Linked DNA regions of Tamandua tetradactyla. The protein of the gene in region 4 purifies or fractionates together with the protein of the main gene of each other region. This does not show direct contact. Links are inferred from orthologs where the notes say so. Each region holds a gene or a part of one and is shown on either strand. Other genes may lie near its edges. The genes, in order: ING2, ARID4B, SAP30 and SINHCAF.

Region 1 (7,325 bases), on a different chromosome or scaffold from region 4:
TTGTAATATGAACAAAGAGCACAAAAGTACACAACTTTAGTAAACAAAACTGTGAAAGATGAGCTTAGTAAGCATGTACATGGAGTAAAAATTGGATTGTTGTTTTTACATTAATCTTGAAATTAGTCACTTGCATGAACAATTTCAACGGAGTTGACGATTATTATAATCTGTCAATCTTGCAAGGTCTACTACAATTTTTTATGTTACCAGAGATACATATGATAATTTTAGATGGTCAAGAATGCCCATTTCGTGTTAGTGAATTATAGTATCCTTCCCAACTTCAAATGAACAGAAAACAACTTTTATGAAGACAAACATGTACCTTTAAAGAAATGTAAAAATCTGCAAGCTTAACAAACTACAGGCTTATTATTATTGGAAAAACTAAAAATGTTCAATACACAATTCTTAAATACATATGTTTTTAAGCTACTATTTTCAGGCTACCAATCCTGTATATGTTCCATGCTTGTAGCCCTTCGAATGCTTTTATATAAAGAGTGAAAAAAAGTTTAAATAGCTTAAAAAACAAAGACACACCTGAAGGAGCAGGTTCTGGGGTCAAATATTCCCCACCTAATTACCTGGGCAGGTTACTTAAACATCTTGTTAGTTTTATCAAATGTAAAACGAGAAAACTTCCATTTTTCTTCATAGAGTCATTGCAACGATAAATGAGATGTTCTGGACTTGGGGCGGTGACTGGCAGATTTTAAACGGTCAGTATTAATTCCTTTCCCCACTAACAAAGACTAGTCCTAGCGACAACATGGGCTCAGAAGGCAGAAATAAAACATGGAGACACCTGAATGTTCTAACATGCCACAAGCCAGGAAATGTCACCGTAGAGGCGTGACGCTTAGAGACTAAATCATAGGATTAGTGATGTGTCTAGAAAAACACAGAAAGCATGCAATACGTTATGCTGAAAGTCGTTATGGCTGTTTCCACATAATGTCCACTGCCTGTTACTTGATTCAGGGTTAAATTAAGTGCATAACGACTCCCCTTTTAAACTGCTTCCCTCCTAGGAGCAGGCAAAAATATCAACCAATAGTGGAAGAAAAAACGATACTCTGAGTGAGAAAGTCTAATTCTCTGGTCCTAGCTTCTTGTGTCGACCACAAAGGGCGGTTTTCGTCTCATCCCATAAACTTAGCGCAGGAGACACCCAGGGGTGAAGGGACGCCAGGCGGTTGCCCAGTCAACCAACCCGCTTCCTCCTGGGCCCGGAAGTGACGCAAGGCCCAGAATCAACGCGGTGGCCAGGGCTAGCTACGGTCGCAGCAGTTGATTGTGCCCCCGCTGTGATTCAGTAGTTGGAAAGAAGAATCGAAAAATAACACCAACATTGACTGCTAGGGCTGAACTAATGTCCCACATTGCCCCGACCCCCTCCCTAACAGCAGCTCTCTCCCAACCCTCCCACAACCAGCCATTTTCGAGGCCGGCGGGAACGCGCGCGTCCGCGCCCCTCCCACACCTACGTCACGCCCAAGCCCCGCCTCCAGGGACTGGGGGCCCTCCTCGCCACACACACACACCCCTCTTCCTTTCCCCACGGGGGACCCCTCCCCTTTTAACCACTCGTCCGTAGGAGCTAGGAAAAGGCTGCGGCCCGGAACTTTCTCAGGGACGGGGAGAAGGGAGCGACTCCTCAAACCCGGAGCCGGGAGCCAAAGAGCGGCGGGAGGGACCTCACTGGAGTCCGCCTTCACGGCCCTCTCTCGCCCCCTCCCCCCCCGCACGTTCCAATGCATCTGCTCTCAGGGGGTGGGGGCCCGAGGAGGGTGGGGAAAGCCAGGCCCCGGAGACCAGCGGGAGCCCGGCGGCGACTGGCCGCCTCTGCCTAGACTCCCTCGCGGGGCAGGCGGGTCTGCGGCACGGGGCGAACAAGCGTCAGGACAAATGCTTGCTGCTTAAAATGGCTGATTCCCTTCCACAGCAGCTGCAGCCGCTGGGTGTGCAGTGGGTGCTGACAAGCGGCAGCCCCCCGCCTAGAGACCCCACAGAAGACCTTGCCGATCGCAGCGGGGGAAGGGAGGGCCACGAACACGGTCTCCAGTCCCTCTCCCCCGTCCCATACACCAGACTCCATCTGTGCACTCGAGGAGACTGTCACAAGAGAAGGGAAAAGTGGGCAGCCTCCAAGAGCTCGCTCGCGGAGGCCAGCGGATCCCGGTTGGCGGGGGAGGACCCCCACGAGCAGCCCCGTGATTCCCTACCTTGATATTTGTTATCCAGCTCTCGCAGAACAGACACGTTCCTCTGCATGTCGTGAGGCAGCGACTCCACACACTCGAGGTAGTCCTGCACGTAGCAGGTGAGGAGCCGGCTCCGCTCCCCGGTCAGAAGCGCGGCGGACGAGTACAGTTGCTGCTGCTGCCCTAACATCCTGCCGCCGCTGCTGCTCCTCGCCGCCGCCGCCGCCGCCGCCTCCGCATCCAGCAACCACACTTGCAACAGCCACGGACGCCGCGGCTCCTGTGCTCAGCAGCCCGGCACCGCGGGGACACCGGCAGCCACTCAGGAGGGCACAGCCGAGTCCCCCGATCTTCACTCCCCCAAAGAGAAGCCCTCACTCCCCGCCCCCGCGGTAACAAATCCAGGGGCGGGGCGAGGTCAGTGCCTCCTCCTTTCACCCCTCCCTCCCCAGGACTGGAGCAGCGGGGATCCCCCCAGCGGAGCTGGCGCCGGGGTCCCAGGCGTTGACACTTCCTGTTTCCCTCCGAGTCTCCAGATGCTACCGATGCCGCCTCGTAGCTCGGATCCCCATGACAAGCCTCTCGCTGCCCCCTTTTCTCCCAATCACCCTCCGTGCCTGTCGGAGAGTCTCTCACTGGACTGCTCCCGCCCCTCCTCCTGCGGCCGCCTCTGCGCCTGCGCAGGACTCACTCCTAATAAGGCCGGGGTCCGCCCCTACCGCCCTACCGAAGGGTTCGCATTCTCCCGCCTTCCCTCCGCCACTCGGGCGATTGGTCTGTCAACTCTAGGCTTGGGGGGAGGGTGCGGAGGACGGCCAAACGGCAAGCTGCGCCCCGCCCCCTCTTAAAGGGGAAGCACTGTCAAGCCCGGCTCTTCGCCCAATGTCTGAATGGAACCTGAAAGGGAAAGTGGCTGACTTCTTTCTTCTGTCCTTCCCACAGGAAGAGGGAAACTTGGCCCAACTCATTCGACTCGGTGCTACCGACTTTCTTGCCATTAGGTGGATCTAGCGCTGCCCCTCTGGAGCCTTATAAGGAACAGCAGGCGGTCGCTTTTCGCTACGCCCTGGAGTGAGGCCTGTGGGAACTACGCGACCCAGCGTGCAGCGGGGTGCGGCTCCCGGCATGCGCTGTGGCTGTGCCTCAGCCGCCGCCGTCGCCGTAGCCCGCCGCTCGGTTGCCAGTCGCGGTGCTGCCGCCTCAGCGGTTGCCTCAGCGGTTACCTCACGGTTCCCTCTTCCTCCCTCCGTGGCCCTCGGGCTCAAGGAGCAACCCGGGCTAGCAGGGAGGTAGGCGGTGCCCCCCTCGGCCCCCTGCGTTTTCTTTACGTCCGCGCGATTTTTAAATCTCCCTTAGAGGGCGTGCTTCCGCCCTTCCTCAGACGCTAGAGGTTTCCCGGCTTCGAGGTGCCTTGCAGGTTTTGTCCCTTCCCTTTTCCAGAAACCCACTATTTAAATTTGGGGGGAAGGGATGCTGGACTGAGTCTGCCCTGGAAAAGTTTTTGTCTAACAGACAACCTTTGAGAACAAATAAAAAGAAACCATTTTCGGGTTCAGAATGTTTAAGCCTTGAACGTCGGCGTGGGCAAACTGGCGGAGTGGGAGGGGACACCGCCACCTTCCCGTCTCTTTTTACCCTAGAACTAACAAACACGGCGGGGGGGGGGGGGACGGAGATGGGAATGAAAGCATTATTCCGGAATCATGCTCACAGCCTTATGTAGGAGGTATACTCGGGTTTAATTTCTGTATAGTGTCTGTTGCGTAAAGTGCCAAGCAAGAGAGCTAATTTTAAGTACGAATGTCCTCTCAGTGTATATAACAACGTGTTTTTTTTAAAGAAATGGGTGTAAATAGAACGAATACACGGAGAATTTTAATGGAATGCCTATGTAAATAAACCGTATTGTGAGTAGTACCTTTGAGGAAATATTAGTGCGTGGTAAGTTTGGATTATCTTATATCCAGTTTGTTTGCAGCCAGTGGTACAACTGTATTATGACCTATTTAGAGGACTTTATTATTATTATTATTATTATTTTCTTTCAGTTCCAAACAACATAGTCCTAAGATTAAAGTTTGAATTGAGTGCCAAGAATAAGAATTACGTTCACATAGTTTGAATATGAAAATTTGTAAATATGCAGCCAGTGAGAAGTCTTCCCTTCTTTCGAGCACTTTTGAAACAGCTATTAATACTAAGTAACCGTGAAATGCTAGAGTCCCTAAATGCAAAGAGAAGTCTAGAGAAAAACTTACATTTCAAACCAGAACAGAGCACGCCAGGGAATTTGACGTTTTGGGAACAACTGAAATATTGCAAAGGACCCAGGGATTGTTCTATGTTATTATCCTGTGATACTTTGAAGTTTTGACCTCTTGAATATTACCACAATTTTCATCCAGGCATTCCACTGTGACTGGAAACAGTCTTGGGATTTTATTGTTGTCATCTTTAATCTTTCAAATTAAGCAGCCACCTCTTGCCAAAACACAGTTGTTGGTAGGAATTGAATTTTACCGTTTTTTACCTTCACCTAATATTTTTATTTGTTCACAAGTTTGCATCAGCTAGTATTTCTTGAAGGCTCCCAAATAATGCATGATGCCATGTTATTTATTAGTTAGATACCAGATTTATCTATGAGATTTTATTCATTCTGGCAGGTGGTCACAGGAAGATGTGGCAAAGGGTTATTAGAAACTAGAAATGAGAAAAGGCAATAATGCAGGAAACCCCTCCAGGAACCTAGAGCAAATTGAGAGGAAAGGTTGAGAATGGATTGGGAGAACTTTTATGGCATTATTTTCTCCTTTCATAATTCATTTGTACAGTTTGATAAGAAGCAAAAATTAATTATTTTTCAAATTGTTTTGGTCTAAACCTAAGGCACACTCTAGTATGGTAATATATATGTATATTTGTGTGCATGAGTTATTTCAGTTATGTACCTTTGTTGCTATATTTATAAAGGTTAATCAAAAGCTTATTCCTGCTGTACTTTTGAAAGGAGCCTTTGTGGGAGAGTAGTTACACAGAATAAAAAAATCACCATACTCCCCAAATTCCATACTTCACTTTGGTTAATTATGAATGTCTCTTTTCTGCTTTGTAGTCACTTAACTGGAAATTTGGGGTCTTTTTAGAATGGGTCTCCTTATCCTCTGCTAAATGTAAGATTTAAAAATCCCTAATTCTCCAATATAGAAGATAGTCTATGAATAAAGCAAAGAGGCAACTTACTCTTCATTGTATTTTCCCCCACAAACAACTCTAAAAAGACAAGTATCTAATGCTTCCAGGTTAGTAGAAGTGTATGGGGATTAACTTTAATTTCTGAATCAGTCTTAAATCAGCCTTTGGCCTCCAAGACTCTAACCTTTGAGATGTTTGTCCCTGGTAGAAAGTGTGCCTCCAAAGCTATCTAATATAGCTCTTATTTATGCTGTGAGAGGCCTGAGCAACAACTTCACACTCTGACTGAAAACAACTAACAAGTAATTCTGAAAGATTCCCCAAATGTTTACTGTGATGTGTTCTGAGAAAATTCAACTTTTGTTTGAGTCAGGTCAATTAAATTTGAAATCCTTTTCTTTTTTTTCTCCTTTTAATATTATTAAGCTCTTCATTATGGAAAATTCGAAACATCAAAGTAGAAATATTAGTACAGTAAATCCTGATATACTAGGCATCCAGCTTGAACAGTGACCAACATATGGCCAGAATTATCTTTAAATGCTTTAAATATAAACAGAGATGAGATTTTAAAAACTATATCACAATACCGTTATGCCAACTAAAACAATTTCTTAGTATCAGTATTCAGATAATTCAGAGTTCCCCATTTTCTTGTACTTAGTTCGTTGAACAGGACTCAAGTAAGTTCTACACGTTGCATTTGATTAATGAAGTTTTTTTTTTAAACCAATTAGAGGTAGTTAATTCACTATGTGATTCAGAGAAGCAGATAGCAGTGCCCTTCTATTCTAGTTTGCTAGCTGCCAGAATGCTATATACCAGAAACGGAATGGCTTCTAAAAGGGGGATTTAATAAGGTGTTAGTTTACGGTTCTAAGGCTGAGAAAATGTCCCAATTAAAACAAGTCTATAGAAATGTTCAATCTAAGCCATCCAGGAAGATTCCTTGGTTCAAGAAGGCCAATGAAGTTCAGGGTGTCTCTCTCAGGTGGAAGGGCAAATGGCGAACACAGTCAGAGTTTCTCTCTCACCTGCTTTATTGCATAAGTCCAACACAGGAATTGTAGAAAAAATTGTAGAAAAAAGAAATAAAATTTAAAAATATAAAAATCTCTATAAGCTGGAGAAACTCTTCTCAGCCTCTCAGTTTACTACTAATCTAATTTACAATTAGATTAATATCTGTTTTAGCAATTATTTTGCTTTCCAGGAATCATTTAAGACCAAAGGACAGTGTTAAGAAAATGCTAGATTCTCTAGATAGTATAAATCTGAGCAATTTCAGCCTATACTTGTAGTTTATATGGTAGAGAACACAAAAGTTGGTGAATACAGCCAATTCAGTCAATTCTGCTACTTCAGGTTACAGGATGACTACTAGCATCAAAAGATGGTCCTACTATCAGGAGATAGAAATAGGATAAGATATTGGGTAATTGGAACTGAAGAGATACAGATTGTGCAACAGGACTGAATGTAAAAACGCAGAAATGGACAGCACAATACTACCTAACTGGAATATAATTATGTTAAAACACTGAATGAAGCTGAATGTGAGAATGATAAAGGGAGGAGGGCTGGGGGCACAAATGAAATTAGAAAGAAAGATAGACGATAAAGATTGAGATGGTATAATGTAGGAATGCCTAGAGTGTATAATGATAGTGACTAAATGTACAAATTTTAAAAATGTTTTGCATGAGGAAGAACAAAGGAATGTCATTACTGCAGGGTACTGAAAATAGACGGTAATTAGTATTTTAAAACTTCAACTTATGTGTGAGACTAAAGCAAAAAAAAATGTGTATTTGGTACAAAATTTATATTTTGACTAGTGCATTTCCTAATATAATTTATGTAGATAGCTTAATTAACACCACAAGTACATGGAACCTTGAATAGGACATGAGATTTTGT
Region 2 (7,885 bases), about 89 Mb from region 4:
ATATTATTCAACACAACAGTAAGGAAGACAAAGGGTATTCCTAGAGCTAGAGTTTGTGACTAGAAAAGGATTCATTTCGGAAACATTACTGGTTTTTTGGTTTTGTCTTTTTTTTTTTCATTTAAATAAGAGTAAGATGGAAATTCATAGGTAAGAACTATTTCATATAAGAGTTTACAGCGCCCCAAACTCAAGAAGAAAAGCCTAGAAAAAAATGAACTAAACCCACTCTTGTATAGGAGATAAATGTTTAAGTTGCCACAGCTTTTACTTTCTTCCATAAACACAAGCAAGTATTACAAATTTTAATCCGGATGCAGTACTTTAAAAGCAGTATCGATTTTGAAGAGAAGTGGAATAAAGTTTTTTTAAAATAGTTCAAAGGCACTGACAAAAGTAGATATTTACACTTCAGCATACTATACTATCTGTTCCATTTCTTTATCAGGGAACACACTTTTCAAGCACTTCTGAATTTGTACTGGATGAAAATATAGAATATGCTAGTCTTTAAGTGCCACCAGTTGAATATAGACAATTCACATATCTAAAGCTTTTTACTTCAGAATGCATTAAAAAACTAAACAGCATTCAATTACGTATTTTCTAAATTGAAAAAAGCTGTGTGTTCTTATACCATTAAGCAAATTGGGCCTCTCAGATAACTATCCTGCATTCAGTTGCCATGCTTAAATTTAAGAGAAACCTGGCCATCAGCTTATCACACATCACAATGTAACACAGCAGCTGAAAATTTGCAGACCAAAAGATCAAAATTCAAAAACAAACCATATAACTCTAAATCCCTGGAAATTAAGAGAACTGCTATCTCTAAACTGTGTAAAGATTACCATAATTTTCTTGAAAAAACTTCCAAAGAAGCTCATCTTTGTGTTTAATCAAATAGATTTTCTGCTAAAAATTTACAATACTGTTCACACAATAAGAGATTTTCTTTCATCAATGTAACCGATAGAACCACAACACAGTTCAGCATTTAGAGTCAGATTACTTAATCTGCTCTTTCAGTTTTACCTTTCAAAGCATTTTAATTCATGCAGTTTCCTATTTTTACCGGCAAAATGAAGCGCTCTATATGGTAGGGTGATGCTCAATGAGATATTCGGACTCCAACTCAAAAAGACACAGGCCCCGAGTATCCTATCTGGCAGCAGAGTCCCTGAGCTGTAGATTTCCTACCAGTTGACCCCCATCGTTACCCAGGCAAGAGTTCGGGGACCACGGCACCAAACACACCTTTCTCTTCAAAACTCAGGGAAGCCCCACACAACGACCTCAGTCAAATACCCTACCTTTCTGAATTCTCTAACACCAGAGGTTCGTTTTCTGCAGGCAATCTTACCTTCATGATGACTCCGGGGCCACAAGCCCCCCGATAACACCAGATTCACCTGCACCTGGAGTGGAAACAAAAAAGCACCCAGTCAACCCCACAGGCACCCCCTGTTCACTGGCGGAGGCGGAAAGGAACCAGTGAAACCTCTGAACACCGATTAAAGCGCCGGAGAGGGCGTCAGCCCCCTAACGATTAAACAAGGATTCGGGGACTCCTCTGGCCTCCCTATCCCCGCAAACCCAGCCAACTACACAGCTCGGTAGCTCCCGGTCCCCATTGTCGGGACCCGACGGAGTTTCCCGTCTCCGACAATGACGCCATTTCTGTCAGAGAAGAAACTCACAACAAGCCCGGAGTCCGACACGGAATCGGTCACCCTCCCCACCGCTCTTTCTCGCCCAGCCGAGCTGGTCCTCTCCCGAAGCGCCGCGCAGCACCCCGCGTCCAAGCGGCAGCCCGGCCCAGTCTCCAGGAATCGACCCAGCAGGGGCGCAGGAGAGAGTCAGACCGGCCGGAAGGGCTGCAAGCAGGACCGTCTCCCCCCGCAGAGCCTCTGTCCAAGTCCCGTTTCGAGGCCAGAGACCCTGAGAAGTAGGAGAGAATTTACACTTGGCCCCACGCTGCAGGGACGGGAGAAAACGGAAAGGCCGTGTGGCAGCGAGGACCTTAGGCAGCGCCCCCCAATTCCTGCCTGGGCCCCCCACCGCGGCCAAGGGCCGCTAAACCGCTGAGTCTGCGACCGCTCGGTCAAGGGGCGATTCGGACTCCATTCGGAAACTGCAGTAGGGGAGAAGGTGGGCCTCCCGGGAGGACAAGGCCCCGAATTCGGGCGCCCGGTGGAGAGACCACAACAGCCATCTACCCCCTGCTCCACAGCAAAACGCAGGGACTCCCAAAAAGACTCCCTTAGGGGACTGCAAAAGACCCAGAAAATGTCCCTACCTTCCTCGGAGGCCAGATCTGACCCTGGCACGTCCAGAATCCCCTCCCCTCCTCCCCCAAAACCAGTAGGCCCGGGGGAGAGATGGGGGAAGAAGGACGGCGGGTCCAGCGGTTGCTGAAGCTGAGGCTCCGGCTCCTCCTCCTCCCGCGGCGGCGACTGGTACCTTTGTTTGGCGGCCGCTCAGGCTCCCTCGTTGGGGGGAGGGGGAACGACAAAAATCACTCCCGGACTGGAGGTCCGGGCCCCCAAACGCTCTGCCCTCCAGAGGACGGCAACGATAGACCCTCTGAGGCTCCCTCCGGGCAGAGGCCCAGGCGATGGCCGTGGCGGCGGCAAGCTTCAGCTGAGAGTCTCCCTCCGCTACGGCACCCAAGCTCCTCACTCCGGACTCGACTGACGGGCAAACATCGCTTACCCCCCCAACCCCCCCTTCCCTCCTTTCTCCCCTCCCCTAGATTTTTCCCCCTCCCCTACCTCGTTCCCGGATGGCCTCTTAGACGACCTTGGATTGGTTAGAATTCTTTGGAACCCACCTATATCCTGTTCTTATTGGCCCCTCGGATACAAACACAGACGCCATTTTCCCACTAGTTCTATGGAAACAGAAAGTTATGCCTCAAAGCTTCACGGGGAATGTAGTCCAGTCTAGGAGGCCAATGCGCAAACCGCTTGCCGTTGAGAACTACAAGATCCGCAATGCCCCGCGCCCGCCTAAGGCGGGGGGAGGGGAAAGGGGGCGGGGGCGACAAAGCAGTGGGGGGGAGGCGGCTACGACGCCTGCGCAGTGTGACCGGGATGGCGCATTTTCTTGCACCGAGTAATGCGGTGTTGCTGGCCACCGAGGAGGGCGGAGAATTCTGTGGCGAAGTAGGGGGAGGGATATATGTGGTCACCGGGAGGAGCTTTGGTCTGAACTATAAAGTGGGAAGTTGACGCTCAGTTCTACTGTTACCGGACCGGCAACGGGGAAGTCGTGATATCATCGTTGAACTGTGAGCGGCAGTGGCGGTGGCTGGGGGGACCCGGATGGTGAGGAGGGCGGGGAAGGGTGGGAGGCGGGGAACCGAGAGGAAAGAAAGAAAAGAGAGTGAGGACCCGGATGCTGAACCGGATTGTGTATTAATTTTCCATCCGCGGGTTTGCGAGGGTCGAGGGGGCGGGAGGAGGGTTAAGTGATGAAGTGGGGCGGAAAGGGGCATTTGAGCCTAGGAGGAAGCAGAAACCTCCCGGTCACTTGGGAGTCTGTGCTAGGCAGAGTAAACATTTGAATTTCCTTTATTAAACCTTTGTTGAAAATCTGCCTCAAAGTTATTTAACTACCCTCCCTGTATCTCAGGACAGTTTTCTTCAGACGCATGATCCCCCGGAGTTTGAATGGAAGGATTCACTCAGCGCTTCACATCTACGCTTCACATCACATTTGTATGTCTCTACTAAGCAATTTTGAAACCAGAACCTTCCATTAAAAAAAAAATACTTAGCATGATAGTTTCACTTTTTATGCGCAAAGTTTTCCTCTGATGTACTTCTGTACTGCGTTGGAAGGTACTTCCGCTATTACATTCATTCAACCCTTCACATATTTTTGAGCTCCTACCACGTGGGAAAAACAGTATGGTTCTTCCCCTCAGGAACCAAGTCTAGTGAGACTGAAATTAAACAAAATAGACACACGAATCGGTTAAAATGACAACTGTGGTAGGTGCTACCCTGAAGAGTTACGCGGTGGTAAGGAAAGGCTTTCCCGACAAAGTGAGGATTGACTTCAGGTTAAGGAGGAGTAGGATAGCATGTTGGAAAGCCTTGTGTCAGGATGAAGAATTGAGGTTGGAGAGGTGAGCGGGGAGCCGAATCTTACAGGGCTTGTTGACAAGTTTTATTCTTACTCTAAAAGCAGTGAAATATCGTTGAAGAATTCTCAGTCCGAAGGGTGATAGAACCAGATTTAAATTTCGCAAAGAGCAGTGAGAGTTAAGTGATAAATTACAGGAGTGAATGCAGAGAAGCCAGACAAGGAGGATATTGCGGTAATAATCCATCCACACGGAAAAGAAAATCTGTTGTTTGCATTCCTGTTTATTGACCCACTCTTGGAACAAATTTAAGGCAGTTTTTCCGTTTTGAAAGTGGAGTAGTTTCACACTATCTCATGTAGGCATTCTGTAGGTATTCACCCTGAAATAGTAGAGATCATATAACACATTAATAATGCCTCTTTACTTTGTGTAATATAAAATTTCTAGCTGTGATAAATAACTATTAATTGGCTAAGTTGCTAAGTGGGAATTCTCGTATCTCTCTGAGCAAAATGGATATTTTTTTATTCATAATTAATGTTTAAATTGAGAGATAACATCAGCCAAAGCTCTAAGAATGGAAGCAAAGTTTATCTCACATTTCATTGCAACACTTTGTACCTTTTATTGAACCAGACAAACAAAAGAGCATTCTTGAAACTTGGCTTTGATGATTTTTAAGTGTCACAAAGTTTGTGTCAAAGATACAGACATGATTTTTGCTCTCAACCTAGTTGGGAAGAGATGGCTACTAACTTTTACTAACTTTTAAATAATTAGAGACGTGTGTAAGAGATGCTTTTACTATTCTATCTTCAATTCTGTCCAATAATAATGTTTTACCTAGGCAATTATTCTATTTAAGAAAATTTGCATCTTCTTTTCTTTCTTTAATCTCTAAGAATTAGGTAACCTATATCAGAGTTGCAGTTAGCTGGTAAACAGTACATGTAATAAATTTGGATTATTTCCTGAATTTTTTCCCTTATGACATAGTTTGTACTAACTGCTAGACAAGGTACATTTGCATTCCTGTTTATTGACCCACTCTTTGAACAAATTTAAGGTAGTTTTTCCGTTTTGAAAGTGGAGTAGTTTCACACTATCTCATGTAGGCATTCTGTAGGTATTCACCCTGAAATAGTAGAGATCATATAACACATTAATAATGCCTCTTTACTTTGTGTAATATAAAATCTCTAGCAGTGATAAATAAATGACTACTAATTGGCTAAGTTGCTAAGTGGGAATTCTCATATTTCTCTGAGCAAAAGGGATATTTTTTAATTCATAATTAATGTTTAAATTGAGAGATAACATCAGCCAAAGCTCTAAGAATGGAAGCAAAGGTTATCTCACATTTCCTTGCAACACTTTGTACCTTTTATTGAACCAGACAAACAAAAGAGCATTCTTGAAACTTGGCTTTGATGATTTTTAAGTGTCGCAAAGTTTGTGTCAAAGATACGGACATGATTTTTGCTCTCGACAAAAATGTTTATCTTTGCATTCAGATTGCTGAAAGATTTCCATTGTTGGAGTGCTGTTTTTTATGATTGTTTCACAAGGGTACTCATAGAGTGGATGATAAAAAATACAGTTTTTTCAGTACCAAAAAGTAACCTGAACTTTAACCATTTTCATGCTTTAATGTCCATTTGTAATCTCCCTCCAATAAAGAGTTAAGCCAGTAGAATTTATTTTTTAATTTGTCATTATACAAACATGAATATTTGTTTATTTGGTATTAAAGAGTAAGGATATTTATTCTATAGCTGGGGATTTTAATCTGAGATACATGTAAAGGATTCAGGGCCTATATGATTCCTAAAAAATTATATGTAGCATTTTATGGGTCTGCATGTATCTAGGTGAGGGCATATTCACTTATAAGCTGGGGTTTTTTGTTTAGTTTTTGTTTAAAATTCATAGCTTTTATCAGATTCTCAAAAGCTTTCTCTCACCAATGAGATGCATCATACTACATGGAAGCACCAAAACACTTAGTTGATGATAATCCGTGTGTATTCATTCAACCAACTTGAACACATGCCTACCATCTGCCTAACAGGACATAGAAAATGTAGTTTTATTCTTTTCTTCTGTTTACATGTTACACATCTTACACTCCAGTGGAAAAAGAAGTACATGATAAAATTGATGTGACATAACCCTTTTTCCCTTAAATCAGTAGCTCACAATAAATATTAAATACCTGATTCTCACCACTTAGGGTAGACTCAGCTCTACTGAGTTCTTCATTGTGCTGGTGAAAAAAATATTAGTTTACCAATAATGAGATGTCACTATGTTTACTTCAAGATTTTCAGATTTGCTTAGTGGCATGAGTATGAATCAACAATGTTTATTTACTGTAATATATGTGAAGACTCTCATATTTCATGGATTAAGGTATTAGACAAGTTCTGCTTCCCTAAGTATATTTTATACTTTTAAATTTGATGCTAGTAAGGAGAAACTACTGGAATAGCCTAGTCTATGAGAGTGGATGAAGAGCTCATCGTGTGAGATGACTAGGCTGTGAAAGATGAGTTTTAGTACTAACATTATGAAGTTACTACAGCTAATTTAGAAATTGAAGAACACCCCTGAATCTTACAGTAAATAAAACACCACCACACCCCTTTAGTTGTGTAACTAATATGCTTTCTTAAGAAACTCCATCAGAATCAAGTAAGGTGCAATTAAAAATGAAGGTTCCTTCCTAAGTTTAGTGAATTAGAAAAAAGACCTTTGAGTGGTCAAAATATAAATTCAACTTCGTTTCCATTATTCAAAAAAATAAAGTAAATATACCCTTACGCCTTATTATCGCCTAGCTTATTGTGAGAGAACTCTCTTCAGGTACCTTCCAATTCCAAATTCTGTGATTGCAACTCTAATCATGAACTGCCATTAGATACAATATTGCATTTAATCTTGTATTATTGTATCTTTAGTGCGGCTAAGAAAGTTGATTAGGAGAGAGCTAGTGATGCTAGAGAATAATAGGATCACTAGAGAATAATTTCCCACAGGGGGATATTTTTAATAAATATGACTGCATTCAAGTTAATGCATATCTCAAATCAGAATATCTGAAGTGAATTGATTGTAGAGAAATACAAGTTTTTTTCCCCCTTTAATTTTAAATATACAAGGCATATATCCATGTTAATAGTCATGACTGAAAAAAAAAGTGTGTTTACTAATTTATGTAATCAGTGAGATGTAGAGATAGCCTAATTCTGTGAATTTGTGTTGGCATTTATTTGATGGAAACAATTTAAGCTTTTCACTGTGATTACAATAGGAAAGGCTTAATATAAGTATATACCTAAGGAAACCACTTAAAAACTAGCTGTACCGTTACAACAATGTAATCACTTGAATGAAGAATTTTTTTAATTGAGATATAATTTTTGTGCCATACAGTTCACTCATTTAAAAGGTACATTATTCATAATGTGTGCAGCCATCACCAAAATCTAATTTTAGGTAACTGCTAATCTACTTTCTTTCTCTATAGATTTGCCTATTCTGAACATTTCATATAAGTAGAATCATGCAATTTACGATGTTATATGCCTGGCTCCTTCCACTTAGCATTATGTTTTCAAGGTTCATCCATTTCTAATTTTCTTTTAAAACCAAACTGAAAGTCTACTTTTTCAATAATACCTTTTTTCAAGAATACATGTTCCTTTGCATTTTGACACTGAAAGATGATTTGGTTATGTTTCTCCTTTTTAAAAGGTCAGCTTTGAAGTTTAAAAACAATGGAGAAGA
Region 3 (7,635 bases), on a different chromosome or scaffold from region 4:
ATCTATAAACATCTTAATATAATGCACAGATTTCTTGGTTCTATTATTTCCCGAGAATGCACACACTCAGTCAACTTTTCAAAACTCATTAAAGGACTAAATCCAATAAAAGTCCTATATCAAGACAAACTGTTAGTAAAACCCTGTATAAAAAAACTTGCATAAAGTAAAAAGGGTTTAATCTTTGCCTCTTCAAGATATAAAGAAAACATGGATGTCTCAACCAAAGCAAACTAACATCAACAAAGACAAATTCTGAAACAGTTAAATCAGCAACTTATGTGCATACTGTATGGGGTTCTTCTATAAACATATGTCACCAGAAACCCCCCAAAACAAATACTGACAAAGACATTAGAGCTTATTAATTTATTTTATTATGCCTTGATCAGGTGCTCAATAAATGTTCACTGAGTGAATGGAACTTTAAAACTAACAAATTTTAGAATGAGGACAGAAAATTAACATTCAGTATTTCTTAAAGCCAGTATTAGAAGAAGCAAAGAAAATCGCACACAGTTCACTGAGTAGTCATTACAAAAAAGTGATGTATTGTTATATCACTATGTTAATTATTATGTTAACTAGTTCATTAGCATATAATTGGTGGGAACAGGCTCACTTAAAGTCTAAATAGTTAAAAATTCATATACCTCAACAAGCTGTGCTTTGTTAAGTCCTGGTCTGGTTGGTAGCTTGAAGTGTCTTTTGTATCTCCTAAGTGTATTTACTTGTAATTGGTATAAATCGACCTAGAAAGAAGTAAGGTATATAAATTAGTTCATTCAAACTACTGAAATATCACTGGTACGTCTAATGTAATTCCATTATCAAAACACCTATAAATGTATTAAACACTTTCGGGGATAAATACATTAAAAACTGGGGCACAAAAAAAATTATAAGACAATAGAGATGCAATAATTGTCAACTGAAATATAACAAGTCACACTGTGTAACTGTATGTTAACTGGCTGTATTTAATTTTGCTTTCATTTTCAGATTTCTCAAATTCTTTAACCACTTTAAAAATGTGCTCAAATCTTTTCTATAAAAGTTTAAGAATGAATTATTTAGGATACACATTTAACATATAAAAATGTTCATCTACCTCTGGGGTATCAATATCTTGAACAGGTGAATCACCTCCATCGTCATCACTCCCTTTTCTCTTTCTTCTGTTTCGAACACTCTGAATTAAGTTTTTATGATAATCGCAAATGTAGAGATGCCTTGCCTGAAACAGAAAAGTTTTACAGGCTGCTTATGATTACGACAAAATGTAGTGTCTATCTATTACTGAAATACATGGGTCACGGTGAACTATTAAAAATAAACACAACAGTCAAAACAGGGCATTGTCAAGAATACAGCCTGTTTCCATTCTTATTCCCGCACTCATCCTATTAAAACATACCAGGTCCGACAAAATTGGTAATCCGGTTAACAGGATGGAGGGGGAAGGGCGGGGGGCGCCCGTGGGGAAAGGAGGGAGGGGAGAGGAGAAAGAGAAAGCCCAACCCTCTGGGTTTTGTCATCAAAACTCAGAGGTTTCTTCTGAGTTTTAAATGAATGTCTTTATCTGTAACACGTTTTGCCAATGGAAACAATCTGAAATTATCCAAGTTCACCTAAAAAATTATCTAACACGACTAAAGAACTGCTTAAACATGTGAGAAGTATCGCAAATTAACTTTTCAAAAACTTTTAATGACATAATCTCGAGAGTTGGAGTAACAAATATGAAACACAGGGATTCATAGGTTGACCCGTTAAAGAAAATGCACTTTAAAATTTATTTCCGACCTAAACGCAAGTTCAAAAACAGGAAGGCCGCGCGCTACGTCCTGACATCACATTCACCGCGGCCAGCCCGAGCTCGGAAGAGGGGCCGCGGCTGCGGCCCGCGCCTGGGAGAGGGGCCGGCGGGAGGGCTGCCCGCGGGCGACCGGCGCAGCGGAGCCGCACGGCCACGCGCCGCCCTAGGGCCGACGCCGCTCCCAGCCCGCGCCCTACAAGGCGGGGCTGGCCCGGGAGAACCCGACCGGGCCCGGGAAGCACCGCCCCGCCCGCGGGGTGCGAGGTCCGGGGCCCAGCGCGCCGGCTCGGACAGCACAAAGGCGCCTCCACCCAGACCCGCGGACGGGCCCCGGGAGTCCCCTCCTCGCCCTCCGAGCGGCTCCCTTTGTTCCGCGTCCCACGACCGGGAGGAAGGGGGAGGAGGCCGCGGAGGGGGCGGGCGTCCGAGTTGCGGCGACCTGGCGGTGCGCGTCTCACCAGGGACCCCAGCACGGGCCCGCACGGCAGCAGGTCCGGGGCGGGTCCTGCCCCCCGTCTTTGCCCGGATCCCGGAGCCCCGCGGAGGCGGCAAGGCCGTCCGGCCGGCACTTACGCTCTTGTCCAGCTCGATCTTCACCTTCTTCTGGGAGATGCTCTTCTGGATCCTCTTGCTGAAGCTGGCGTTGCCCGCCGCCCGGCCGCACCGCTCGCCGTCCTCCCGCAGACAGCACAGCTGCCCGGGGCCCGGCCCGGCCGCGCCCGGGGGACCTGCCGCCGAGACGGCCCCCGCTCCGGACACCTCTGCCCCGGCGCCCGCCCCGGCTCCGCTCCCGGCCGAGGCGGCGGCGGCCACTACGGCGGCCACTGCGGCGGCCGCGTCCCCGCCGCGGCTCATCTCCTCAGGCGTGAAGCCGTTCATGTCCCGCCGGCAGAATCCGCGCTCGCCTGGCCGCTGCGCCTCCGCGACACTGGGGTCGCGGCCGGGTCCCTCAGGCACCTGCCACGCGGCAGCGATGCCGTCCGCACCCCGAGTCCGGTGGCGGCACCGTGCCGACGTGTGCTGCTCCGCGGCAGTGGACGGTGCCCAGGGTCTGGACCCAGAGCCCGAGGGGTGCGCAGTGGCGACGGCGCTCACTGTCACCTAGAGACTCTTGAATAGTTAGACCGCGGCGCCTCCACCTCTCCCCGCCTCTCGTCGGCCCTCGGATCGCGCAAGCGTAGTGTGATAAACACCGTGCCGCCCTTCCCGTCTGCCGCAATGCACCCCGGGAATTGTAGTTCTCTGTGCAGGGTCAGCCTGAGCCCGGAAGGTTGGAAAACTACCTATCCTAGCATGCATCGCGCGGCGAGGGGTCGGTCTAGGAAGCCCACTGACTTTTCCTCTCTTTTCAGTACCGGCCGGGGCTCGCAGGATGGTGTGGCTGGGAATGATGGTGTTTGCTCTTCTGTAGTCTCTAAGAAGTTAAGTTGTGGTTAGCTCCTGGAATTTCGCAGACTTGGTGTATTCAGACCAAGCGGCAACCGACTCTTCAGACAAAGAAAGAAAGGAGGAGAGGAAGTGGGTAGAGTGTGTGAACGAACGCTTTAGGTGCCTCTCTGGTCGCTGTGGAAAAAGAGTTTATGGTGTGACCACGCTTTTGTTGGAAACCCAAACCAAAAGCTCGAGCGGCGTGGAAGTCCCGCAGCTCACACCCCGACTGGATGGCAGCCCCGTCTGTTCGCGCGCTGAAGCGCCCCGTGGAGCGCACCCACCCGACCTTTGACCCTAGCAGGTGTCCTCGCAAACGCCGCAGCCGAGCACCGTTTCCACACCTTTGCCTGTTCCTGCAGGGAACGCGCTCCGTTCCCGGGCGCGCAGTCTCCTCCCGGGGCTGTGGCGAGAGGCGGAGTCCAGTACCTTTTCCCGGGAGGCGTGGAGCTGTCACCTGGGCCAGGCCAGCTGTGCGCTCGAGGCGCGGCACCCGGCTCCGCCAGCGGGGCGAAGTGGAGCCGCGCTTGCTGGGTCGCGCGTGCGACTGCGGTGCGGGAGTGACCGTCTGTGCCTGTGCGCCTGCGGTGCGGAGTGACCGCGTGTGCCTGTGAGCCCGAGTGTGCCTGTGCGCCTACGGTGCGGAGTGACCGCGTGTGCCTGTGTGCCCGAGTGTGCCTGTGCGCCTGCGGTGCGGAGTGACCGCGTGTGCCTGTGCGCGTGTCGCGTGTGCTTCTGCGGGGCGGAGCAGAAGGATGGGGAGCTTCCTAATAGGAAAGCTTTTCCTAATAGGAAAGCTTCAGCTTTGCAATAACTTAAACAGCTCATCGTTTTTAAAAATCAGTACATAAACAGTCTCATTGTTAAACAGTTCTAATGTTCGAATAGAAATACTGTATTTTGGCTAGTAGGTTTTTGGAATGTTCTTGTAAATTTAGTGAGAGACCATTAAAAAATAAAGTGTAAAATGCCATCTGCGCTGAAATTCAAAGCCATCGTTTCCACCTGTGCATCTAGTTCTAGGATCTGGCAAAGGAAAAAACAAAATTAAAATATTAAATAAGTTGAGCAGGTAAAATGTAGATAGATGCATGCGAAGTACGATATGTTGTCTTTTTAAGCTGTACTGTCCGATGGGGTGGCCGCCAGCCCTGTGCGGGTACTGAGCACTTGAAATGTCCTTACTGCGACTGCAATAGTTTTATAATTATTTTTTAACTCGATTCACTTTTGGGAAAAAACTTAAATATGTTTGTGACAACTTGACTATTTGAATCTTTGTTCAACTCAAGTTTTATGAAATCTAAATTTAGCATCGGAATTGAGATGTGCTCTAAGTACAAGTTGCAGATGGTATTTCAAAACTTAGTACCAAAAAAATGTTGAACAGCTTATAAATACCTTTTTTATATTGATTCTATGTTGAAATGATATTTTGGGTTTACTGGGTTAAATGAAATATTAAAATTAATTTTACATGTTTTTTAATGTGGCTGCTAGAAAATTTAAAATTACGTTTGTGGCTCGCATATTTTTATTAGAGAACGCTGTCTTAGAGTAAAAACAATCATGCTGGATGTTATTTATGGATATATTTTCTTAAATGGTAAAAATGAGAACATATGTAGGATGGACACACCCCAACTTCAGGGTGTTGGTCACCTCTTGGGAGGCAGGCCAAGTGAATGGCTTAAAACTGGTTTCTGCTGTATTTGTAAGTTTTTATTTATGAAAAAAAAAATCTGAAGAAAGCATGATAGTGGAATGTTGAATTTTCAAATTTATCTTTGTATTTTTATTTGTTACTGTTTGGTTCTTGCGCCTATCCCTTTCCTTCAAAATTCGACTAAATTAATTCACTTATCTGTGTTTAGTTATGTATCAATTATATAAAACATTCAGTGAAGAATTGTGGCTTTGCCTCCTTTACCCAAAATAAAGTGTTTTAAAAGAGATCCAATTACATGACATTCAGGGGTGAAAGTCTCCCTCACAGCATAGGAGATGACTCTTAAGGATGAGCCTGGCCCTGGCACCTTGGGATCAACAACGCCATCCTGACCAAAAAGGGGAAAAGAAGTGCAGCAAATAAGGTATCAGTGGCTGAGAGACTTCAAATAGTTGAGAGGCTACTCCGGTGGTCACTCTTACACACGCTTCAGTTAGACATTGCTACTTATCATAGCTTGCCAACCCCCAACCAAAACTATTCCTGTCAATCCTAAAGAACCCCTAGAGTGTAATATAAGATTCTACAAAGGTTCTGTGCACTAGGGTAACTTTCCAGAAACCTACAACCTCCAGATGGTCCCTGGACCAGAAAAGTCCTGAAAAGCAGAGGGGCCAGCCTCTCCAGAACATCAACTGGTTTTATCCCCCATCCCATATTACCAACAGCCCCTTCCAACATGAACAAGTTAGAATGGGCATAGCCCAAATACCCCTAAAGAGTGGGAGAAAGATCAAAGGGATGGTGGAGTTACACAGACAAGGTAAGGTTTAACAAATGAGTGTGATTGCTGAATCATTGATATTTCTTTTAATCTCCAGTGTCTCCAGTGTCTTGGAGCAGCTAGTAGTAAAAACCTAAAAATGTGGAATTGTAACCCATACTAAACTCTGAAATCTGTTCAATAACTAATTGTTATGATGTGCTTTGAAATCTATTGCTTATATATATATATATATATATATATATATATATATATATATGTTATTTTTCACACACAAAAAATCGAATGTGATGATAAACGCACAGGTATATGATGATATTGTGAACCATTGTACACGTTGGATGATTACGTGGTATGTGAATATATATCAATAAAAAATAAGTTTTAAAAAAGCAAAAATAAAAAGATCCAATTTAATATTTATTGCATACTATGATCTTTCCTAGGCCCTGGGAATAAAATAATTGAGAGAGGTTCATAGCTATTTTGGAGCTTGCTGGGAGGCAGGCTGCTTAACAAGCACATTTCAAAAAAGCATGCTAAATGCCTCAATAAAACTAGAGAAATATAGATGTAGCACACAGGAGGGAATGATTAATCTCCGGCAAGTAGAAAGGATTCCAGGAGTTGGTGACATTGCCAGATTTAAAGTACATCTTCAGTGAGTCTATTTGTTCAAAGAAATTTACATAACCATAGTTCATTATTTATTTTTACAGATTTCCATATGCAGGACAGGTAAGAACTCCTTGCTTTAAGTGTAATTCACGGTTAAGACTGGAATCAGGTGTTTGAGGGCCTCAAGTTTGTACAATTTGAAAAAGCATGTAAAATTATAAATATAAAATTAGGCCTTTTGAATGGCTTGTCCAAGTGAGGGACTCTGAAGCCTAATCCATTCACCTCATATTAAACTGCCTCATAGTAGCCCATATGGTTTTCTTCAGGAAGTTTCTATTCAGATTTTCTGTCTATTTTATCTATTGGGTGTGCATCTATTTCTGTCAATTTGTATTAGTACTTTATATATCCTTAATGAGCCCTTTGCCAATTTTACATATTTCAAATGTCTTTTCCTACTCTATAGCTTGCTTTTTGACTCTATAGTGACAACTTTCAGTTAAATAAGTCTTTGTTTTAATGTTGAAAAAATTATACCTTTTTATATAGGGCTGATGATTTTTGTGACTTAAATAATTCCTTATTCAAAGTCATGAAGATATTTTCCAACAGTATATTCTAAATGCTTCACTGTTTTGCCATTCCCATTTAGCATTATGATGGATTTTTTGTGTGTTGGTGGAAGATAGAGGTGTAATTTCATTTTTTTATATGTTACTTGTGCTGGTTTGAAACCATTATGTACCCCAGAAAAGCCTTGGTTTTTTTTTACCCTTATGAAACTTATTTCTGTAATGGCAAAGCTGAGCCTACTTATAATTAATGTCTAAGAGTCATCAGCAGAAAATCTCTTGTGTAGCTCAAATGTCCCTCTTCCTCAGCCAAATTCTGACCACTGCCCCTCCCCCCCACCCCAGACGTGAGACATGAATTCCAGGGGTGTAAGTCTCCCTGGCAATGTGGGACATGACACTCAGGGATAAGCCTGGCCCTGGCAACACAGAACATGACTCCCAGGGGATGAGCCTGGCCATGGCATCATGGGATGGGTTCACCAAAAGGAGGTAAAGAAATAAAGTCTCTGTGACTTAAGAGATTTCAAATTGAGTTGTGAGAAGTCATTCTGGAGGTTACTCCTATGGACGTTTCAGCCAGATATTGCAAACTACCACAGTATAGCAAGCTCCAACCAACAATATTCCTGGAAACTTTAAAGGATACCCTGGGCTCTATAAAAGTTTTACTTATTAAGTTCGTTTTTCAGAGACTTAGATACTCTGGATTGTTCCAATACCAGATAAGCTCTGAAACCCA
Region 4 (7,471 bases):
AAGAATGAGCTTGTGACAATTCTTTAAGTCTTTAAGTTCAGAAATTTGAAAAGTAGTTTTGATTCAGTAATATATACCCTGTTTTCCTGGCAGCTGTCAACGGTTGTTGGAGGATTGGGGTCTCTTAGATTGCATAACCAATTACGTACCTTATAGTGTAAAGTTATCTGATTTGCTCTGACCACTTATTAGAATTTCAAAAGGATTTAAACAAAGAGGTAACAAAATATTGTACTTGTTTTGCTGTGAGAAAAAGAGCTCTTGGTTTAGTCTTATAGCTAGTACCTTTTAAGGAATGAAACCCAATGATTAATAATAACAAACAGGATATCAGACTTCATTTTAAAAGCAATCATTATTAAATACATCACTAAATTGCTGATATTATCCCTCATTACTAAATAAGAATTGTGCTTTTCAGACTTTCATATAATTTTTCCGCCATTTCAAGGATATTATAATAATTGTAAAGTTGCTGGCAGCAATTAAACTCTCAAAAGAAGGCGGTAAATTCTATGGGAAAAAAACAACATACAAGTAGAATTACACAGAAAGAAATTAGAAGAAGTGTGGTGGCTTGAGCTTCTCTAGGGCAAAAGGGTTTCACTGTCATTAAATTTTTACTAAATGAATGGAAATATTCAAGCATTAGAAGTAATTCTACAGTGGGACAATATGTAATAAGCAAGGTAGCTGGTGTGGTTAGAGTATGTGGCTACACAGCTATATTTTCAATTTCAATGTCTTTGAGAACTCATTATGAATTCACAAAGCACTACTTTCATTTAAAAAATACTCAGATATTTTTCTAGCATGGTGAAATTCAATTTATTATAATCCAGTTTATTTACATGGTATAAATTACTTTTCTTTCCATTTTTTTTAAATAACGAAAATTCACTTGGGCTATTTATATAATAGTATTTTTAAGTAACCTATAAATGAACTATTGGCTCTGGATAGGGCCAGCCATAACAGCATGTTCAAGCAACAAAATGAACAAAAGAACCTTTGGAATGCACCTGGTTGTTCAAAAATAGCAGGTGGTTGTTAGAGAAAAAAAAAGATTCTAAAGAATCCAGATTTCTCTTTGAGCTTTGTTTCTGACTTTCATACAAAAATTACCTGAAATACTGCTTGACCTCTTTGAGAGCAGAGGAAGTCTTGCTGTGTGAAATTAGTCCAGTAGTTCAGAACGTCCAGATATTTCTTATCTGAACAGGAATACTACAATTCCTGCAATGCATGCACATTTTGAACCTATTCCATCCTTGGATTACCATATATATTCTTTATATAAATTTCCAAGAGAAAAAGCATTCTAGCTATACTTTTGTTTTTTTCAATTATACATTTTACTTTGGAATCACAAGGCTGTTACTCTAATAGGTCAATTTCTTATAAACATTACAAGTACAGAAAATACCAAATATACACAGACTTCATTGTAATATTCACAAAAATAAAAAAAATGTGAACTCCCTTAAATTAGACAGTTATCTTCCCTCTTAACTGAGATTACCTATGTCCAGAGATTTGTCTTCTGACTGATGTCCAGATTCTTCTCAGAAACCTTGATGTGACGCACACATCTGCAGTTGCTATATCAGCGATGTGGTGACTCCAAGGATTTGAGTTTTATGTTACTTAATTCTTTGGTGTATTCAGAGATGACTACTAGCTCTAATCATGACAATCACTTGTTTGATTTTACATTTCTTTATCTTCTAAGTTTTAAAGAAATATTTCCCTTCTAACCTTAAATAATTTTTCTAAGATATAAAATGTCTTTATATGAAGTTAATGGAAGCTTAGAATCTTCATCTTTCATATTCTTAGTACCTCACATATATAGAAATATCTGATTGATATTGGATACTTCTCATTCTAGCTACACTTTTATATTTATTGTAAGCAGTAACTGAAGTTTAACAATATGATGATGCTTACAATTTTCACATCTTGAAAGGCATATAATAATTTTAAAATATTTTTGGAGGATCTATTATAAACAAATAAATATTTGAGACAACTCAGGACAACTTTCTAAATTCTCTGAAAAACAACATAGAGATTCAAGTTTGGGATTCAATTTGCACCAATGAAAGCCCATAAAGACTTATTAAGGCTATTCAGGATTATGTATTATAAGGACAGGAATGGCGTCATATGAATCAAGGTGATCACCATATTCTCCAATTTCATTATAGGTCAAATACAAAATTATAAACTAAAGTAAAGCTGTTTTAACTTGAAATAGATTTACAATAAATTTAAACCACTGATGTATTATTTGTCAAACAATTATTCAGAATCTGTTATCTACTGTACACTGTTTTAGGCACTTAAAAGTATAAGATATGAAATCCCTGCCTTTAAGGAGTTCACATTTTAGAAAGAGATGCCATCCCCCTTCACGGATATTTAAAAAAGTAGTTTTCATATACAGCCATAGGAATAGCCTGCTACAGAACTTTTTAAAAAAAAAAGCATTAGTTGAAGACTTCAGAAGTCCGCATTGTAAGAATGTACTAGGAACTGGCTGTTGAATTAAATTAGATTTTCAGATGCTTTGTATCTATTTAAATCCACTGTTGACATTAGAGTGAAAACAGAGAAATTTGTCAGCAGATAATTAAGTTTTTTGGCTGTTTTCACACTTTTGTAGCTTGTGGATCTGGGAAAAACATCCTTATCTCTCTTCAACCTCCCTCCATTATCAAACCAAACTGTCTGCCTGCTGGTGCTAGGTATGTCCTCGGGATAAAGGTGTATCGCAACCTTTATTTAAATTTTTTTTCACTTGTCAATTTGAGAAATGCTACTTTTATTTCCCTGAGGCTAGAACTGTTTAGAGTGTTGGTTTATTATAAATTCCACAAGGAAAAGTCCCGCACTTTCTTCGCCACTTTTTCAATTCCCAAGACCAGGTTAGTGGTACTATTTCTGGGTGAGTGGAATACTCTATAAGTAGCTGGAGGAGATATATATGCATGTCCCTAGACTACTGACTAGTCTTTTGAGAAAGGGCACTGTTCCCATGGAAATTAACAACCATTCAGTTAGGACTGGTTTGAAATCTTAAGGCCGAAGTGTTGGGAAAAAAGTTGGATCATGATGGGTAGGGTACTATTTGAGTAGGGCGAGTGAAGTTAAGTGAACGTATAGGGTGTCAAAATAGGACTTTGTTAAACGACTGATTAAAATTGCAGGTACAGTAACATCTGCTGGCCCCGAAGAATTTATTTTTAAGCTACAAAAACTCAAGTTTCAATAAAATTTAGGAGACGGGGAAGAAGAATAAATTCAGTCCGAGTGCTTAACCTCCCCTCATCTCAGGCGAGAAACTGGGTACAGGTGTGAAAATTTGGTAAAAACAGCTTTCGAAAATTTTTTCAACGCGAAATGGTGTGCCTTACGAACTTCAGGGTGGAAAGCATCTCACGCAATCGAATCTACTCCCTTGGTTGCTAACCTTTCCGCCTTTCCCATCCCGGCACTCACTCTCGGCCGCCGCCTCCAGCCAGGGGGCGTTTGTTTATGTGACGTCCGCCGTAGTAAGCAGTCCCCGCCCCCGCTTCCCTCTGGCCGCCGCGTTTCCCGCGCCGCGGCGCTTCTCCCCTTAAAAGGACAATAGAGGCCTCGGGAGCGCGCGCGGCCGCCAGGCCTTTTCCCCTCCCCAGCCCTCGACGCGCTCGTGCCCGCATGCAAATAAGTTCGATTCAAGAGAATCTTGCACCGGGAGCCGCGCGTGCGCAGAGGGAAAGCGGAATCTACACCTTCCCGACCAGCGGTAGCAACTGCAGAACTGCAGGAGACAATCTTTCTAGACAAGGCAGTTGAGGAGGAGGGACTGATCGGAGGGGGGCTGGCCTGGTGTGCACTCCGCACCTCGGGAACGTTATTGCGCGTGGAACGGCTGCTTTTGGAAGGTGAGTGATTCTAAGCATCACTCTGGTGCAAAACTGCTTCATGAGGCTTTGATTTCAGGTTTTTTCTTTTCACCTCACTCACCTCCCTGGTCGTTTCCCTCACCCCCCCCCCCCAACAGGAAGTTTTGTCTTGGAGATGATATTGCTGGAGCGCTGTTTTCGTGTTCTTCAGACGCCACATTCTTTTGTATACACATGTTTAGTTTGTATTTTTAATTTGGGGGATGGGGTATTTGAAGCAGACCGAAAGTCTTGGGGTGGGGGAAGTGAGTGGAGCTTGAAAATAATTGAGGAGTTGCTGGAGTTGAGGGATCCACGCTGAAGGTGACAATGACTTTTCTCAGCTGCAGTGTTCTCTGGCTAAAAGGAACCCCGTGGCTGAAAGGCCCAAGAGAAAAGCGACTTGCTGGCAATTGCCGAGCGACCCTGGGTCCGTGCATCCGCGTGGGCGCGAGCCCCGGTCACGGCCGGACGCCGTTGTTAAATGTTAAACCTCATGGTTCAGTTTATTACAGCCCCTCACGCGTGTTTTGTTTAAGATGGACAGTAAATGCCATTCGCTCGAAAACTAAGTTGTTATCGACTTTACAGCTGGCGGCCCTGAGGGGGTTTAAATCGGCCTTTTTGGGAAAGTGCTGGGATTTGCCCGAGTGCACGCGGCGTGGCGTTGTTTGCTCAACTCCGGAGGGATGCGGATGCGACAATGAGAGCAACACGCGGCCGCTTAAAACAGCCCCAGCTCCCCACGCCTGCCTCCGCGGACCGCGCCCATGGAGCTTTGGTGTCCGAGGCTTCTTTGGAGCCTGAAGTTTTATTAAACCTATTTATTCACCTGTAGCGTCGATGTGGGCGCTATGGTGAGGGTTTTCTAGGGCCACCATCTGCGGTTTAAGATGGCCAGTTGCAGCGAAGTTGACTTGGGGATGGAGGCAGTGGCGTTGTCCGCGCGGAAGGAGTGAGTGAACTCCGAAGGGCATCGCTTTTTTGTATTAAACATGACAGACCACGTGCCGCGACCCGCGTTTTAGGCGGAGGTCTGGCTGAAGGTCCAGCTTCCTGGTAGCCTTGAGATGCAGTCGCTGTCGGGTAGGTCCGATCGGCAAGACAATGTAATTTGCTGGTGATGGCGTCTTGCCAGTTTAAAAAGCAGAGTGAAAGTCGCCAACTATCCGCTTGAGCGGGGAGGGTAATTCGGGCTTTCTTATCAAGGACATTGGAAAAACTTGAATTGAATCGGCCCGCTTCCGAGAAGGACCGGAGGACAGGACTCCTGGCTCTCGGGGTTCGGCGTCCGGACCCTTCCTCTCGGTGATCGCCAAGTGCCTTGCCCCTGAGGAACAATCCGACATCCCCGATGCTGCACGTAGGCAGCGCCCGGCTGGACAGAAAACAAAGGGCTGCATGTGCCCGTGCGAGCCCCGCCGGGACTGAGGGCCGCCCGGCTCGGGGCCCACCCAAGTTCTTGCGAGTTTCGGAGAGGGGTTGGCTTTTGTCCCTCAGCCCCTCGTGGGGAAACTTTGGCTGCGCTACTTGTATGAGGTGCCATGCTGGTGCGCGGGGAGGCGGCGTGCTAACCCGTTCTGAGCGGGCGGGTGGGCGAGGCAGACGGGCGCCTCCGGCGCTTCCTCCCCCGCCCCAGCGCTGGGGGCCGCAGCGGCCGAGAGAGCGTGGCCGGAGTTCTCGGCCCCGTTACCCTTGGGCCGGGAGCCTGCGTCTGGGAGGTCTGTGGATTCGCCTTTGAAGTCGAACTGTTGCCATGTTTGAATTACGTCAGGGCAAAGCCATGAGGAGGAACAAGCCCCGGCAGCGCGGCGTGCGGGAGTCGCGGCCTGCGGGAGGCGCCGGGCCCAGGGGGCGGGCGGGCGGGCGCGCGCGAGGGCCCCGTTGTTCCGGCGCAGGTGAGGGAGGAGGGGAGGACGCGGTTCACCTCCCGCTGCCCTCGCTCTGGCGAGCGGCCCTCGAGAGGAACTTTCTTCTCGACACAAGATGTTTTATTTACCAACAAATTCACCAGGGAGCGTTTGTCTTTGCTGGCTTGGTGTCCCCAGGCCGTCCCCGCCTGTCGGAGGGGGAAAGAACAGTTTGGGGGGGGGACCCGAGGGTCTTGAGAAGACGGGGGAGGAGGCGCTTTGCTGCTTTCGGGGAAACCCGCGAGCACCTCCCCAGCCCCGCCGAGATGTAGCTCGCAAGTCGTGGGGACCCAGTCCCGACGGCACCCGAAAACCACCGTGGGGAAGTTTCGGGGCTCCCGCTGTCGCTAAGAAGGGGAAGTGAGGACTGTGGCCGAATTGTGCGTGCCGTTGTTGTCTTTGTGTGTTTGCGTGTGGGAGGGGGAAGCGGGAGGGGGAAGGATTCTTTTGGTTGGGGGGTTTTTGGTTTCACTTGGGGTGGTAGGGCGGAGCAGTTTGTTCTGGTAACTATGACCCCAGTCGGTTTCTTTGTTTTTATTTTCTCCCTCTGCCGTCTAACCTTCGATTACTCCAGTACTCGATGATTAGGAATTACGACTAAACCAAACGTGGACCCTGTCCAAGGCCGCTGTATTTACCCCGCCCCCCCAACGCTGTCCTAAAGAAGGTTAAGAAAACGCGATTTCCCCCCTTTTTTTAATAATTAAAAAAATCAATATGACCTCGTCATTAAAAGTACACTGAAAGCACCTGTTTTTGCCAGACTTTTGGCAAATCCTTCTGTTAATTTATGTTGCAAAATTGAACATTTGGTTGCCCCGTGTAAATTAAAGACTGAAATTTGGTTCTGGTGAATTTCGAGAAAAACCTCATGGCATTTAAAGAATTTGTATAATGATTCCGGGAAGGGGGATCTTTGCCCTAAAGATATGTCCGACTCAATGTTTAGGCATTATTCGCTGCATTATTTTAGGATGACCTTGAAGAAATGATCACGTAGGGGCTTGGAAGCTGCTTCTGGGGACGACACGGGGTAATGGCTAGCTAACTGTGGTAACTTCTTAGTTCCTGTGAACTGGAGTTGACCCTCTGGTTACCCCTCCTAACTTTTCAAGCTAACTTTTTTTTTGGTATGTAGCCCTAGGCATAGCTCAAAAATTATGCTGGTTTGACACATGGATGCTTTTTTGGTATTTGGGGTTTGCTTGCAGTCTAGACATCCAATAAGCAGCATCGTATTTGCTGTTTCTTTCCTGATTTACTCTTTATTTGAATTATGGTTAAAGATTGAAATCTAAAAGTGGCCATTACTAGAAAATAATGTAGCTCTCCTTAAATGCCGTATACCCCAACACTAAAACACAATCCATACAAGTTGAAATCCATTTTGTGCCTTTTCATGGTTGTCTTAGTAAATAGACACATCTCCCAAGTTTTGGTTGCCCCAGTTAACAAATACCAAAAGGCAACTAATATTAGCACTTACATTTCTGAAGTGGTTAGAAAGAGAACGTGTCAGGAAAATTGAAAACTTTGGATTTTGATAATTTTCTGGCTTTCTTTTGGGCATAGTTATTTCTCCGAGTCATGTATTTAAAATGCTTAAAAAACACCAAACGTAAAATGCTT

Evidence for each region.
Region 1: the proteins of SINHCAF (region 4) and ING2 purify together in Homo sapiens (affinity purification with mass spectrometry; 3 studies listed by BioGRID and IntAct, counting the BioPlex papers as one, with this or other methods). This does not show direct contact. The link is inferred for Tamandua tetradactyla from reciprocal best matches to the Homo sapiens genes SINHCAF and ING2.
Region 2: the proteins of SINHCAF (region 4) and ARID4B purify together in Homo sapiens (affinity purification with mass spectrometry; 3 studies listed by BioGRID and IntAct, counting the BioPlex papers as one, with this or other methods). This does not show direct contact. The link is inferred for Tamandua tetradactyla from reciprocal best matches to the Homo sapiens genes SINHCAF and ARID4B.
Region 3: the proteins of SINHCAF (region 4) and SAP30 purify together in Homo sapiens (affinity purification with mass spectrometry; 4 studies listed by BioGRID and IntAct, counting the BioPlex papers as one, with this or other methods). This does not show direct contact. The link is inferred for Tamandua tetradactyla from reciprocal best matches to the Homo sapiens genes SINHCAF and SAP30.

What each region holds. Positions count from the first base shown.
Region 1 is NC_135352.1:29,357,281-29,364,605, forward strand, and holds the start of ING2 (inhibitor of growth protein 2), read right to left. Parts: upstream 3,011-7,325; 5' UTR 2,944-3,010; coding exon of another isoform or gene 2,747-2,943; 5' UTR 2,401-2,746; coding exon 2,232-2,400; intron 1,389-2,231; exon of another isoform or gene 547-1,388; intron 1-546. Other genes in the region: uncharacterized protein LOC143669889, read left to right, coding at 2,747-2,943, 3,153-3,285. UniProt on the Homo sapiens protein: Seems to be involved in p53/TP53 activation and p53/TP53-dependent apoptotic pathways, probably by enhancing acetylation of p53/TP53. Component of a mSin3A-like corepressor complex, which is probably involved in deacetylation of nucleosomal histones.
Region 2 is NC_135333.1:5,592,675-5,600,559, forward strand, and holds the start of ARID4B (AT-rich interactive domain-containing protein 4B), read right to left. Parts: upstream 3,010-7,885; 5' UTR 2,834-3,009; exon of another isoform or gene 2,775-2,833; intron 2,723-2,774; exon of another isoform or gene 2,300-2,722; intron 1,419-2,299; 5' UTR 1,370-1,418; coding exon of another isoform or gene 1,364-1,369; 5' UTR 1-1,363. Other genes in the region: GGPS1 (geranylgeranyl pyrophosphate synthase), read left to right, coding at 7,876-7,885. UniProt on the Homo sapiens protein: Acts as a transcriptional repressor. May function in the assembly and/or enzymatic activity of the Sin3A corepressor complex or in mediating interactions between the complex and other regulatory complexes.
Region 3 is NC_135352.1:39,728,274-39,735,908, forward strand, and holds the start of SAP30 (histone deacetylase complex subunit SAP30), read right to left. Parts: upstream 3,007-7,635; 5' UTR 2,699-3,006; coding exon 2,393-2,698; intron 1,238-2,392; coding exon 1,112-1,237; intron 753-1,111; coding exon 654-752; intron 1-653. UniProt on the Homo sapiens protein: Involved in the functional recruitment of the Sin3-histone deacetylase complex (HDAC) to a specific subset of N-CoR corepressor complexes. Capable of transcription repression by N-CoR.
Region 4 is NC_135333.1:94,268,191-94,275,661, reverse strand, and holds the start of SINHCAF (SIN3-HDAC complex-associated factor), read left to right. Parts: upstream 1-4,458; 5' UTR 4,459-5,002; coding exon 5,003-5,018; intron 5,019-5,544; exon of another isoform or gene 5,545-5,653; intron 5,654-7,471. UniProt on the Homo sapiens protein: Subunit of the Sin3 deacetylase complex (Sin3/HDAC), this subunit is important for the repression of genes encoding components of the TGF-beta signaling pathway.